2 linked regions of the Macaca mulatta genome follow. The protein of the gene in region 1 purifies or fractionates together with the protein of each later gene. This does not show direct contact. Links are inferred from orthologs where the notes say so. Each region holds a gene or a part of one and is shown in the gene's direction. Other genes may lie near its edges.

Region 1 (8,041 bases):
TTACACAACCTATGTAGGTCAGACACCATCTCCCCTATCTCATCTATAAAAATCTCTGCATTTCACAGCAGATCTGCAACCCATTTTTCCAGGATGCTTCTCTGTAGCAGAGAACTATTCTCTTTCTTTTGCCTGTTAAAATTCAGCTCTAAACCTCACCCTTTGTGTGTGTCTGCATCCTTGATCTCTGTGGCCATGAGACCAAGAACCTCAGGTGTCATGCCAGACAAAGAGACCAGTTCAGTACTTTTTATGCTTCCTTCTTTCTTTCCTTCTGGCTTTTCAATCCCACCACAGTTATTAGATATTCTGAGGGCTGGAGGGCTTAATACTTTTTTCCTTTGCATTTAGTTTGGGAAATTTCTATTGATCTATCTTCAAGGTAACATTCTTTTCTAGATTGTGTCTGGCCTATTGATTATTTTCTATTTCTATTGCGATTATTTCACTTCATACATTTTTGTTTGATTTGTCTCTTAGTGTTTTCTTCTCTCTGCTTATCTTACTCATCTGTTATTGCATGCAGTCTACTTTTTCCATCAGAGCTCTTAATACATTAATCACAGTAACTTTAGATTCCCTGTCAGCAAATTTCCACATCACAGTCATATCTGAGTCTGCTTCTAATGCTTCTTTTGACTCTTCAGACTCTATTTTTCCTTGTCTTTAGCATACCTGGCTTTTTCTTTTTGTTGTTGTTGTTGTTGTCAAAAGGAAGATATATATGATCAGGTAATAGGAACTGAAATAAATAGACCTTTAGTATGAGATTTTTTGTTAGTCTGGCTAGGTGCTAAAATGTTATTTACCTTTTGTCCTAGATGTAGGTTCCAAACACTTCAGAATCCTTTACTGTCCTTTTTGTCACTCCTCTTGCCTTTACTGTCCTTTTTGTCACTCCTCTTGACTTTGAACTTCCCTGAGCATCCTCCTCAGAGAGTCAGTCTACCAGGAATAAGCAAGAAAAATAGTGGAGGATAATATAAATGACCAGTATCAGGAAAGTAAAGGGATAACACTGCAGATATTAAAATGGTAATAAAATAATATTATGAACAATATTATGCAAATAAGTTTGTTTACTTACTTGTGTAATTCCTGTAAAACACAAATTTGTTACAGAAAAAATTCCCATGAAACACAACTTACCAAAACTGTCTTGTAAGGAAATAAAACAACTAAATATTTTTATATCTATTAGAGAAAGAGAAGTTGTAACAAAAATCTTTCCATAGTGAAAGTTTTAGGAATAGACACTTTATGAATTCTATCAGACATTTGAGGATAAAAGTTTACCATGTCTATACAATCTGTTTTAGAAATGCCAGTTTGCTGTCACACCCAATTAAAGATATTACACAGAAACTAAAACAAAAACCAATTCTCACATGAAAATAAATGTAAAAACACTTTTGAAATATTGAAAAATTATACTTACCAATATACTTATCAATATGATAAATTATAATGCATCATTAAAAGTGTTTTATCTCGGGGATGTAAGATTGATTCAACATTTAAAACTCAATCACCCTTCCCTCTTCCCTGAGAAACAGAAAACTATTTACTTGAGAGACAAAAGGAGAAGGCACCTGTTTCAGGTGGCCGATGGTCATGAATGCATAAAGCAATCTTGCTAACGGAGGCTCCCATACAAATGGGTTTTGTTCTGACTCTTAGGGATAGAGAAAGGCTTTAACACTCTGCATTTCCATTTTCCTCTCTGAGATCACAAAAATTTTCACAAGCCTTTATCCTTGGGTTTACAATGGACTTTAAAAGTCCCAAATGTGGTTTGTTGGTGTGATTGCTGTTAAGAGAAAAGCTTCAGCTGAATTAAATTTAAAAGAGTTTAATTGAGCAACGAACGATTTGTTATTCAGGCAGCCTCCCAAGCCAGAGTAGGCTCAGAGACTCCAGCACAGCCACATAGTGAAAGATTTATGAAGAGAAAAAGAAAAGTGAGATACAGAAAATGGACATGAGATAGAGAGCTGGATTGCTTATAGCTCGGAGTTTGCCTTATTTGAATGCGGTTTGAACAAGTGGGCCACATTTGATTGGCCAGAACTTGGTGATTGACCCAAGAGTATACTACAGTCCATTTACACTTCCATTTAGGCCATCATTCGCGCTGCATGAAAAACCTTTAGGCTGAACTTAGAATATGTAAGAAGCCAGCTTTAGGCTAACCTTGATTTAACATTGCTCTTCTACTTACTTTTGCTTTTCTCTTTAGAGGCTTTCTGCTGTCTCCTAGACTGATGACTGGGTACAGACTGACAAACATTTTCTGTAATAAGCCATGCAGCAAAATCTTTACACTCTGCAGCCAGATGTACTCTGTTGCTTGTCAACTCTTCATTGCACCATGAAGTAGACATTGACAATGCATAAGTGAATAATCACAGCTGTGTTTCAATAAAATTTTACTTACAAAAGTGGATGGTGTGTTAGTATTGTCCCATAGGCAGTAATTTACTAACATCTTGGTTAGCATATTAATCTGGTGGGAACTTTTCCTGAGGACTTTGAATGAGCATGGGAATTAGTACTTCAGATGATAAAGTCATGCAGGTTCATCCAGACTTTTTCTCCCTTATCAGGATCTCTTGTATGTTCTATTAATGTGCTTTCTGTGTGATGGCACAAATAGCAAATTATTGCCCACTGCTTCAGAATCAGTACAAATGCACATTTTTAAAGCATTTCTTTGCTTCATCTATTACAATTTTATCTGCACAGTATGGATTACGGAGCAATGTTCTGAATTGTCTTTGGTGACAGTAATTTGTGTGTTGTATGCTGGAGTCCTAACCAAAGGCATTACTCTGCATGAAATTATTACCACAAAGGGGAGAGAAAAATGTCCTGAAACACGATAATTTCTACCAAGTTTCCTCTACTCTCTGACCTTTGAATTGGGGTAACCTGACCTTCCTAATATCCTTCTCTACCTATTATCTTAAAACCAACTCAGTGTCTCCACATTAACAGCACGTAAACCTATAAAACCATGAACACTCAAAGGTATTTTTATGGCCACCCTTCCAGATCCTCCTTGCTTTTTCTTAACTTACTTTTGCTTTGATAAAGTTATCATATGTTTCCAAATCCAGACTTCAACTATCCTCTCCGTGACCCCAGTTTGTACTAAGATGATCAGCTTTCTTCTGCTCCAAGATGGCCTCAGATCATTTGCATTATTTGTGAAGGAAACCAAAAATACTTCTCAAAATACTTAGGACTATTAAGTTAAACACACAGAAAATGCAGGGGAATATGCTGCCTCAGGCACTATTTGCCTGATGGCAGGACATAAATCCTTATTTACTGGAGAAAGCACTTGCTTTTCAGCCCAGAGAAGGCACCACCAGAAACCTGAGGAATCTGGGAACATCCCACATTTTTCCACCTTTAAATGACTGGGACTGCTTTCTCCTTTGCTTTTCACTGTAAAGGATTTATGGCTCTTTATTGAAACACTATTTAAACAAGGTTTCTAAGCCACAGCCTGGAGAGAGAAATACTTTTGAACTGAGGCCTATCCCTTATGATAGGTAGAGCACACATTAATAAACTGCTTGTTTTTCTCGTTAATTTGGCGTTTTCAGGAGAGTGTCAGCTAAGAACCTAAAAAGGGAAATTTAAAAAATATATGTTTTCTCCCCTACAGCTATATTTGGGGCCCCACTTTCCACTCACAGCCACATCCTGCTTGCAGATCTGCTGCTGGGTTAACACAACATCATCTGCCAGTTGGTGTCATTTATTTGACATCTTGGGGCTACAGTACTCTGAAGGACACCCACTGCCCTTAACAGAAAAAATACTGCTGAGAAAATGGTTTAACAGGACTCTCACCCTACCAGAAGTTCAGTGCATTTTCCAGGATTTTCAAGGCTTCGATGTTGTCATGTTGCAAGCCCACTATCCACTTGTGTTTTTCCATGAATAATGAAGAAAACGTGAGTAGTCATGAATCTAATCATTGAGGTTAAGTAACCTAGTCATAGTCAAGAGGACAGCTAGTGTTAAACTCCTTCATATATATTTGAGAAAGGATTTATATATTGGTAATAACTTTCTGATATGGAAAGCCCTAGGTTTGTCAACTATTAATAACTGGGTGAATGCTTCAGGTAGTATTTAAACCAATTGCCATTTCATAGCAGACATTCTCCCATGTGGGAGATGCAGTAAAGTACTGGTAGCAATAGATGCTCCTACCAAGATCTCCTCCTGCAACTGCCACTCTGTGCACAGGAAAGGAGGGAGAAGAAGCCACCTTGCTTCCTCTTATATTTGACAATCATTCATCGGAATAGAGGTCCCTAATGACCCACATGTAAATCTGCTGGCTAAGAAAGTTTTAAGGTTGGAACTCCATTCAGATATCAACATTTGTAAGAAAAAAAAAATTTTAAATATAACTTTGATATAAATTTTACTTTGATAAGATACCTACAGGAAAGAAACTGTTCATTTTCTCTAACAGGATGGAAAGCAAAAAACACTGGTGGGAGGTGGGAGGAGTCTGCACATTGTTTCACAACTCCTCTCTCCCTAGGGCAAAGCAGAGTGTGAGGAAGCCAGTACTAGTCAAGTGAAGCGACTCTAAGGACGGCCATTTTCCCTTACTGTCTTTGAAAATACTTCATTTTCTTAGCATTTCAGGAGATTATAACATCTGGTATTTCAGTTTCTGAGAGCTTTACTGATTGATTTTCCTACTCAAAACAATCCTCATTTCCTACATTTCTGAAGATCTCAAGATCTGGACTACTGTTGAAGAAATTTCCAGTAAGGTGAGTACTGTGGGTATTTTTGTAGAAAAGATCTAGATGTTTCCTTGAAATCCACAAAATCACAAGGGAAAAATTAATATTGGCTCTTCAGAGCAGTGGGGTGAAGGGAGTAGAGCTGGTATCAACTATATTCAGAAAAGTGAAAACTGCAGTTACTACTTCCAATTCTTTACTTACTTCAGAGATAGTAGATATCCTTTATTCTACAACTGGGGCACAAATGAAGGAATATGCATTTTGATCATTGCAGATTTTAAAACAAATTCTCTGAGTATATATTCTCTGAGGTTAGAAAGCTTGGTGGCCTCAGGGGTCTAGGCAAAAGACAAGAAAATGATTTCATTCTTTTTTATGGTTGCATAGTATTCCACACTGTATATGCACAACATGGATATAGCTGGAGAATATTATCTTAAGTGAACTAACACAGGAATACCAAATACTGCATATTCTCACAAGTGGAAGCTAAACATTGAATCCATATGGACACAAGATGGGGACATTAGACACTGGGGACTACTTGAGAGGGAAAGGTGGGAGCAGTATGTGTATTAGAAGGCTATCTATCCGGTACTATGCTCACTACCTTGGTGATGGGATCTTTGTACAACAAGCCTCGGCGACACACAGTTTACTCATTTAACAAGCCTGCACATGTACTCCCTGAACCTAAAATGAAAGTAGAAGATAAAATAAGACAAGATAATGTGGTGCACAAAGTATCAGGAAATAATATTAAGTAAAAAAGACATCTAGATGTAGAGCTGTGTTTTATGGTATTATCTCAATTTTACAAAACATATTCTCACACACAAACGTATGTGAGAACGTTTTGTAAGTAATATTCTACAAATGAAAACACAGTAGAAAATTTATCCATTTTGCAAACACAATTATTCAAATAATTTGTGTCAATATTTTCATAAGTATGTTTAACTTTTATATAAGCATCGTTCTACACCAGGTGTAAAAGGCAGTTTTTCAGTCATTTTAAGATTACTTCCTGCCCTCCTGAAAGTTAATGATTTTTTATTTTTCTAGTGGCAATGTATAGGGGAGAGGCAGGGAAGTCAATTTGAAATAGATTTATATTGCAAAGTTTAGAATTTTTCGAAGTCTTTCTGTATAGCCTCGTGCAGTATTTCAGTGTACTTGACTAGAATATGAGATTTTAAATGTTGATTTCAGAATTTATGTATGTTAGATAAATACTGCTATCAATTATGTTGCTCAAATTTGTAAAAATGTTATTTTTTTACTTTTTTCATTTAGTATTGGAAGATATAAAAACTCCTATTATAAGACGGTATTTTCCTGTACTTCTCTCAAATTTATATATATAATATATAGATATGCTCATATGCATATATATAATGTATATTACGTGTGGTATGTGATCATGCATACGTTTCTAAACATAAACATACACATATAAATATATATATTTGTGGCAATGTGTGTACATATGTGTGTATATGAAGATAAATATATATCAATATATTATCATGAAAGACTATACAATAATGAAAAATAATATACATTTATTATTATTAGATAAATCTATAATTTAAATTATTGTATCTTCCCAGGAATTCACCCTTTTACCATGTGGTATCTGATAATACTCTTTGTCTTAAGATCTTTTTAAAAATGATTCTAACATAGATAAGCTGGCTTTCTTCTAGTTTCTCTTTGCACGATAACTTAAATTTCTTTTTCACTTTTCAGTGATCTTTCACTGACAACATACATACAGAAATTTTAAATCAAATTTGATAAAAATTTTCATTTAATTAGTTAAGCTCTTTATGTATAGGCTAATAATTAACATATTTTGGCCTGTTTCTGCTATCTTCACTTCAATTTATAACTCTTCTATATTCTCCTACTTGCCTTTTTTTTTAAACTTACATTTCCATCTCACCCTCTAAGACAATTACATTAGTAAACTGTCACATTCTTTTTCTTCCCTCCCTCCACCATGTTGGTATACTTTCTGTTTCTCTTTTCTTTGATCAGGGCTTTCTTTTTAAGACATAGGCATACATAATCAAGTTCGTTTTTCATTCTTACTCGTCTTTTGGCCTGCAGCTTTTTAAAAATTTTTTTTTAATTTTCTATTGAAAAGTTCTTCCAAAAATGTTTCTGTGTGCATCTTTGTCTGGAAAAACTACTAAGGCCTTGAGGTTCAGAGAATAGTTTTCGGGGACCTTTTGTTTAAATATCATTTTGTTTAGATTGAAATTCTAGTTTTAAAAATTATTTTTTCCTTCAAGACAAGATGAGAGCATTTCTTTCGTACCTGGGAGGCTCGATATGTTTTGAAAATCAGAACTTGGAGGTTTAAAAGATTATTTAATGCACATTTTTCTAGAAACCCCAATGTTATCAGTGTCATTACTGCAAAAACAAAAGCACTAATATTTCAGCATCAAAATATATGAATATTTGTGTTTAAGTGGAATAAATAAAAATCATACATAGCCTCCTGTAATCTCACATCTGGTTTCATTTTGCAAGTTAATTGTGTTGTCATACTCACAAAACAAATCAAAACTTCCCATTTCTAAACTTTTTGTTTAGCAATTTATATGGGATTTTGGACCAGCATTATATAAAAATGATTCCATTCTCTTGTTTCAAGTAGATTTGTTGTTGAGAATCAGTTTCAATCTAATTTTTGGATCTTTGCAGGTGATATATTCTTCATTCTCAGAGGCGTATGGAGTATGTATTTGTTTTTTATATGCTTCAGTTTCACTATATGTCTTTGTATAGATTTTTTCCTTCATTCTATGCTTTTCAATCTGAGGACACTCATGTTCTCTCAAGAAGAAAGCAATTAACAGCCCCAGGAATTTAAATATCTTAATTACATAAGAGGTACACAAATACATGCTTTCTATAATTAAAATATTTGTTTTGGTATTTGTTTTTATTGAGATGGAGTTTTGCTTTTGTCACTCAGGCTGGAGTGCAGTGGCATGATCTCTGCTCACTGCAGACTCCACCTCCCAGGTTCGGGTGATTCTGTTGCCTCAGCCTTCCAAGTGGCTTGGATTACAGGCACCCACCACCATGCCTGGCTAACTTTTGTACTTTTAATAGAGACAGGGATTCACCATGATGGCCAGGCTGGTCTTGAATTCTTGACCTCAGGTGAACTGCCTCCCTCGGCCTCACAAAGTGCTGTGATAATTTAAAAAGGAATTAGGAATCCATAGCATGCTTTG
Region 2 (7,548 bases), on another chromosome or scaffold:
ATCTCTGTCTCTCTTGGTTCTTGTGGCTATATTCTAATTTCCCTTTGACTAATTCTTCTTACTGTCCAGGAATGACACTGTGCGCTTTGCTTTGGATGTCCTGGCTATTCTTACTGTGGTCCCTAAAATCCAGCTCCAGTTGGCAGAATCAGTGGACGTGTTGGATGAGGCTGGATCTACAGTCTCTACTGTAGGTAGGTTATATTTTGCCATTTTTGTTGTTTCTTGGTCTGGGTTTGTTTTTTCTTTGCCACTCTGGTTGTGGTTACCTACCTGACCTAATTTTGGATTTCAGAACAAAAGTAGTAGAGGGGGGCTCCTTGTCTGTCCTTTATAAGGAATACCATTCAGCAGATCAGAAACTAATTAAAAAAAAAAAGAAAACAAAAATACAAACGTAGTACCAGATAGTTTGATTTAAGGGGGTCATGCTAGTAAACTCAGGTTTTCTGGCATTTCTGCTATAATGGTATATTATAGCTTTCCTGAAAAGCTCACACTCTGCAGAGTCTTGCACTAAAAGTTCATGGGAAAAATAGGTTGAGGCAGATAGTAAAAAACTTAAGCATCACAGCTTTCCAGGAGTTAAAGGGGAAAAAAAAACAAAGTGAGCAATTTTGTAACCTGAGTTAGTAATTGGCAGGTAGCTCAAAATGGGTAGAAACCATCATACATATATAAAAAAAGGAAAATACACTTTGATAATATACATTATTAAGAGCAGGGGTGATCAGGGCACTGCTGGGGTGAGCATGGGAAGTTGTGTGACAGGACAAGATGCAGGATAGGACTAAGACACAGGCACTTGTTTTTAATTTTCTTAAAATAAAGTAGAAAGGGTTCTGCTTCCACAGTAGCAGCCCAACTGAGGGCTTTCTCCATTCCTAAGGTTTTAATGTATTAAAATTAATAAATCAGAAAAGGCCGAGCGCAGTGGCTCACACCTGTAATCCCAGCACTTTGGGAGGCTGAGGCGGGTGGATAACCTGAGGTCAGGAGTTCCAGACCAGCCTGGCCAACATGGTGAAACCCCATCTCTACTAAAAATATAAAAATTAGCTGGGCGTGGTGGCAGGCGCCTGTAATCCCAGCTCTTCAGGAGGCTGAGGCAGGAGAATCACTTGAACTGGGAGGCGGAGGTTGCAGTGAGCCGAGATCGTGCCGCTGCACTCCAGCTTGAGTGACAGAGCAAGACTCTGCCTCAAAAAAATAATAAAACCAGAAAAAATTACACACGAACCTTGGTGACTTTTCCATAATTATGACATAATTTCCCTATTTAATAACTGCATATGAGATCATAAAAATACATTGTAGTAGAACTGATTGTACTTTATACAAACAATTCCTTGCAGTTTTTACAAAAATAATGTAGTTTTTTAAAGTAAAACAAAGTGAGTGGAACACCAAATTTTGACTCTGGAACAACTATTGAAATTGGTCATTAGTTTTATGATGAATAATACAGAATTTTTTTTTTCCCATTAGGTATCAGCATTATTTTGGGAGTGGCTGAGGGTGAGTTCTTCATCCATGATGCTGAAATTCAGAAGTCAGCACTTCAGATTATCATCAATTGTGTGTGTGGCCCAGATAACCGCATATCCAGTATTGGTAAATTTATCTCTGGTACTCCTCGGAGAAAGCTGCCTCAGAACCCCAAAAGCAGTGAGCACACCCTGGCCAAGATGTGGAATGTGGTTCAGTCCAACAACGGCATCAAGGTGCTCCTGTCCTTACTGTCCATTAAGATGCCCATCACAGATGCAGACCAGATCCGGGCACTGGCCTGCAAGGCCCTGGTGGGCCTGTCTCGCAGTAGCACTGTCCGGCAGATCATCAGTAAACTGCCCCTTTTCAGCAGCTGCCAGATCCAGCAGCTGATGAAGGAGCCTGTGCTGCAGGACAAGCGCAGTGACCATGTCAAGTTCTGCAAGTATGCTGCTGAACTCATTGAACGGGTGTCAGGAAAACCACTTCTCATTGGCACTGATGTTTCCCTAGCACGACTGCAGAAAGCAGATGTTGTTGCCCAGTCAAGGATCTCCTTCCCTGAGAAAGAGCTGCTTTTGTTGATACGAAACCATCTTATTTCTAAAGGGCTTGGAGAAACAGCAACCGTGCTGACAAAAGAGGCCGACCTGCCCATGACTGCTGCCTCCCATTCTTCTGCCTTTACCCCAGTCACTGCTGCTGCTTCTCCTGTCTCTCTACCCCGAACCCCTCGTATCGCTAATGGCATTGCAACTCGACTGGGCAGCCATGCTGCCGTGGGTGCCTCTGCCCCTTCTGCCCCCACTGCCCATCCTCAGCCACGGCCTCCCCAGGGTCCACTAGCTCTGCCCGGCCCATCTTATGCTGGCAACTCCCCTTTGATTGGTAGGATCAGTTTTATCAGAGAGAGGCCGTCACCCTGTAATGGCAGGAAAATCAGAGTGTTGCGGCAGAAGTCGGACCATGGCGCCTACAGCCAAAGCCCAGCCATAAAAAAGCAGCTGGACAGACATCTTCCTTCCCCACCTACGCTGGACAGTATAATCACAGAGTATCTTAGAGAACAACATGCTCGCTGCAAGAATCCAGTTGCCACTTGCCCACCTTTCTCCCTCTTTACTCCTCACCAATGTCCTGAGCCAAAACAGAGGCGGCAAGCGCCAATAAACTTTACCTCAAGGCTAAACCGCAGGGCATCATTTCCAAAGTATGGAGGGGTGGATGGCGGATGCTTTGATAGGCACCTTATCTTTAGCAGGTAAGAAGAAGGCCCCTTCTTACTCTCTGGGAATTGGAACGATTCTTTTATTTAAATCAAATTGGGCAGTATCAGCATAGTTGGCTTGAAATACCACTGATTGTCACTTTGTGTAATACTTGAACAATGTAATTGTATCACCTTTTGTCAACCATGGGCTCCTTGTGTGATTGTTGGCAGTATATTGATATAATCCTTTGTGTTCTCATCTCAACTAGTATGTTTTCTAGAACCCACACCCCCTCATTACTGTCCATAAGGAGGCTCCCAAACTTGTGCTGTTGCAAGTGGCTTCCTGTTCTGATTCTTGACAAATCTTACATAAAGGTTATGGGATCACAGGTTTTAAACATGGGAATTTTTTTTTTTGTTTGTTTGAGATGGAGTGTCTCTGTCGCCTAGGCTGGAGTACAGTGGTGCAATCTTGGCTCATTGCAACCTCTGCCTCCCAGGTTCAAGTGATTCTCCTGCCTCAGCCTCCTAAGTAGCTGGGATTACAGGCAGGCGCCACCACATCTAGCTAATTTTTGCATTTTTAGTAGAGATGGGGTTTTACCATTTTGACCAGGCTGGTCTTGAATTCCTGACCTCAACTGATCCCCCCACCTGTGCTAGGATTACAGTTGTGAGCCATTGCGTCTGGCCTAAACATGGGAATTTTTGTTATTTAAATTTGTAAGTGGAAATATTTTTCTTATTTAAAATAAAAAGCACTGAAGGTCACTGTGATTTTGGAAGAACCCATTTGAAACATTAATGTTCTGTGCTTTTTCTTCTGTCCTAGCAGTTTGCTTTTTCTGAGTCCCTGCACATTCTTTGCCTCTGATTCTCTCCTTTTTTTTGTGCTTAGATTCCGTCCTATTTCAGTGTTCCGGGAAGCCAATGAAGATGAGAGTGGCTTCACCTGCTGTGCATTCTCAGCTCGGGAGCGGTTCCTGATGCTTGGCACCTGCACAGGGCAGCTGAAGCTCTATAATGTGTTTAGTGGACAGGAGGAGGCCAGCTATAACTGTCACAACTCAGCCATCACACATCTTGAACCTTCCAGGGTAAGGGTTCCTTCCTAGGATGCTGTCAGTCATTCTTCCAAGATGAATTAGTGAACTAGAGTAAAGGAGGCTTACCCTTTATTGAGCTCTCTCTTTTAAATGAGTTCTCAACTGGAAAGTCTGGTTGAGGTTAACTCATATTTCAGATGGAGACTGAGGAATATGGCAAAGTTATTAGGAAGAAAGGAACTATCTTTGACATCGTCTCATTTTTCCCACCTCCCTTTTATCTGTTCTATTTTTGTGGCTAGTTCAGTAGGATTTAATACTCTCCTAAGTTTAGTTATTTTCTAGGACACTATAGGTATATGTATTCAAATCATAGTGGCTTCTGACCATTTCTTGGTTTCTGTGGGTTATAAAATTTTCTCTTTAATTCAACAACATTTTTATGCATATATTTAAAAATGCTAATGGCAGGTAGTGACATCTGCATGTATGTAAATGCACGGTTACCCACCTTGTGCCTTCTTTTAGGATGGGTCCTTGCTGCTGACATCTGCTACTTGGAGCCAGCCTTTGTCTGCACTTTGGGGAATGAAATCAGTATTTGATATGAAGTATGTATCTGCTTTTGGAACCTAGTCTGTGTTTTATTTACCTAGTTTGTTTAGACCCCCTTTCATTTGGTTTTTAGACGAAGCTTTTGGGGAAAGAGGATGCTGTCAGTTATTGTTAACTTCTCTCTTCCTCATCTAAGACTCATGTTTAATAAGACTTTATCTTTCTTAATTCCTAGATATTTTTATGAGGTATATACATTCTCATTATGCAGCAGACCCTGACCCAGAATCTATGTATTTTCCCGTGTTCACATAGGACATTGCCGTCTTTGCTGTGTCTCCTCTCCTCTCCTCCCCTCCCCTCCCCTCCCCTCCCCTCCCCTCCTCTCCTCTCCCCTCCTCTCCCCTCCTCTCTTTCCTCCTCTCCTCTCCTTTTCTCTCTCCTCTCGTCTCCTTTCCTTTTCTTTTTTTCCTTTTTTTTTTGTGAGACGGAGTCTCACTCTGTCACCCAGGCTGGAGTGCAGTGGCCTGATCTCAGCTCACTGCAAGCTCCGCCTCCTGGGTTCACATCATTCTCCTGCCTTAGCCTCCTGAGCAGCTGGGACTACAGGCGCCAGCCACCACGCCTGGCTAATTTTTTGTATTTTTAGTAGAGACAGCGTTTCACTATGCTAGCCAGGATGGTCTCGATTTCCTGACCTCGTTGATCTGCCCACCTCGGCCTCCCAAAGTGCTGGGATTACAGGCATGAGCCACTGTGCCCGGCTTTTTCTTTTCTTTCCTTCTTTCGACAGGGTCTCACTCTGTCACTTAGGTTGGAGTGCAGTGGCACAAGCATGACCTACTTCATCCTCTGCCTCCCAGGCTCAAGTGATCCTCCCACCTCAGCCTGCTGATTAGCTGGGACCACAGGCATGTGCCGCCATGCCTGGCTAATTTGCAATTTTGGTAGAGGTAGGGTTTTGACATGTTGCCCAGGGTGGTCTCGAACTCCTGAGCTCAGGCAGTCCACCTGCCTCAGCCTCCCAAAGTGCTGGGATTATAGGAGTGAGCTACCGTGGCTGGCCCCTTTGCTGCGTGTTTCAAAGGCACGTATGCCCTGTTTGTCATTTCTCTAAGGAATTCCCATTCATTATTTTGTATCTGCTTGGACAAGCTGATAGAAGAAATTTTCTTTGTAATCTAAGTGTATGATTGTTTCCTCTTTGGGAGTCCAGGATCTTTAGGTGAGTGTGATTGTGCAAGAGGCTGGGGGTCACCCATGTTTCAGTTGGTTGCAGGAATATGTCCTGAAGATCTGTCACTTCAGTGCTCCTGTTTGTCCACAGGCATTCCTTCACAGAAGATCACTATGTTGAGTTCAGTAAGCACTCCCAGGATCGGGTCATCGGCACAAAAGGAGACATTGCCCACGTAAGTACTTAAGAACCACTGTTTTCAAGCTGATTATGCCCGTTTGTTCATACTGAAATCTTGATAGAATGTGAGGACCTAAGTCCTTTGGGCAACTAGAAATTAATGATATTCCTTCCAGTTAGAATCTGAAAGTGTGATAATATAGTTCTGAGCTGTATGGGAAAAATGTGTAAGGGCTCAACGTGACATTGAGAAAGATGTCATTAGCGCCACAGATATTTTTGAATTCTTAGTAAGTTTTACATTAGAAATGAAGTCCCTGCCTTTAGGGACCCTCTTTGGGGAGACAATAAAGAAGCAAATAAATATATGGTGAATTTAGGTGGTAAGTGTTTCAGAGAAAATGAAAGCAAGGTAAGAGGTAGGAAATCGGTGGTGGTGTGGGGGGACTTCTCTGTTATCTAGGGTAGACAGCATCACTGATGGGGTAATGTTTAAGCAGAGCCTTGAAGGAAACACGAGGTTCAGGAAGATACCTGGAAGAACAGCGTGAGGCACAGGAAATGGCAAGGGAAAGCCCTTGCTTGGGAGGTGAGAGGAGAGCTGAGGTCAGTGAGGGGCCCATATCTGGTGGCATCTTGTAGGTGATAGTTAGGACCTTTAGCGTTTCTTTTGAGTGAGATGAACACACTGGAGGGTGAGTAGAGGATACATGAGTGGATGTAAAGTTCCTAAAGTATGACTCTGGTTTTTGTGAGAGAAGCAAGAGCAGCCTTCCAGGTTAGAGGGAGTTGTACCACTTGACACATGAGAGGAGCTGCGGGTTTGGGCCTGGGTAGGCATGGTAGAGGCTATGAGAAATGGAGGGCCTTGGCCCTGGGATTTTGGACACATGAAATTTGAGATTCTGTTAGACATTCAAGTAGAGAATGGAGATTGAATACAAAAGTTGGGAGTTGGCCAGACTAATCTCAGCACTTTGGGAGGCTGAGGTGGGAGGCCAGGAGTTCGAGACCAGTCTGGGCAACAGAGAGAGACTCCCCCCATCTCTACAAAAAATAAACAAAATCGGCTGGGCTTGGTGGGCTTGGGACCTGTGGTCCCAGCTACTCAGGAAGCTGAGGCAGGAGGGTTGCTTGAGCCCACGAGTTGGAGGCTGCTGTGAGCTACGATTGTGTCACTGTACTCCAGCCTGAGTAAACAAGTGAGACCCTGTGTCTGAAAACAAAAACAACGAAAAATTGGGAGTTCAGGAGAGAGGTGTGGGTTGGGAAATATAAAATGGGACTTGTCCACATACTGATAGTATTTATTTATTTATTTTTGAGATGGGGTCTTGTTCTATCACCCAGGCTGCAGTGCAGTGGCATGATCACAGCTCACCACAGCCTTGACTGCCTGGACTCAAGCAATCCTCTTACCTCAGCCTCCTGAGTAGCTGGGACTACAGGCAAGCACCATCACATCTGGCTAATTTTTTTGTACTTTTGTAGAGACGGCATCTCCCCAACGTTGCCCACGCTGGTCTCGAACTCCTGGGCTCAAGTGATCCACTTTCCTTGGTGTCCCAAAGTGTTGGCATTATAGGCATGAGTCACTGTCCCCAGCTGATAGTATTTAGAGCCATGAACTTATATGAGATCATCAAGGGGACTATAGAAGAGTTGTGGGTACACAACCCTGCCATGTGTTTAGGAGTTGCCAAATGAGGAACTTGGGAAGGAAATCAAATATAGTGGCCAGTAAGGCAGAATGGAACCCCGAGAAAAAGAGGTGCCTGGCCAGGAGTGGTGGCTCACACCTGTAATCCCAGCACTTTGGGAGGCAGAGGCGGGTGGATCACAAGGTCAGGAGTTCGAGACCAGCCTGGTCAATATGGTGAAACCCC

Evidence for each region.
Region 2: the proteins of PYHIN1 (region 1) and DCAF1 purify together in Homo sapiens (affinity purification with mass spectrometry; 3 studies listed by BioGRID and IntAct, counting the BioPlex papers as one, with this or other methods). This does not show direct contact. The link is inferred for Macaca mulatta from reciprocal best matches to the Homo sapiens genes PYHIN1 and DCAF1.

Annotation. Positions count from the first base shown.
Region 1 is NC_133406.1:107,980,813-107,988,853, reverse strand, and holds the start of PYHIN1 (pyrin and HIN domain-containing protein 1), read left to right. Parts: upstream 1-3,757; 5' UTR 3,758-3,968; intron 3,969-4,578; exon of another isoform or gene 4,579-4,669; 5' UTR 4,670-4,808; intron 4,809-8,041. UniProt on the Homo sapiens protein: Major mediator of the tumor suppressor activity of IFN in breast cancer cells. Promotes ubiquitination and subsequent degradation of MDM2, which leads to p53/TP53 stabilization.
Region 2 is NC_133407.1:114,891,248-114,898,795, reverse strand, and holds part of DCAF1 (DDB1- and CUL4-associated factor 1), read left to right. Parts: intron 1-69; coding exon 70-194; intron 195-1,488; coding exon 1,489-2,752; intron 2,753-3,602; coding exon 3,603-3,801; intron 3,802-4,278; coding exon 4,279-4,361; intron 4,362-5,632; coding exon 5,633-5,717; intron 5,718-7,548. UniProt on the Homo sapiens protein: Acts both as a substrate recognition component of E3 ubiquitin-protein ligase complexes and as an atypical serine/threonine-protein kinase, playing key roles in various processes such as cell cycle, telomerase regulation and histone modification.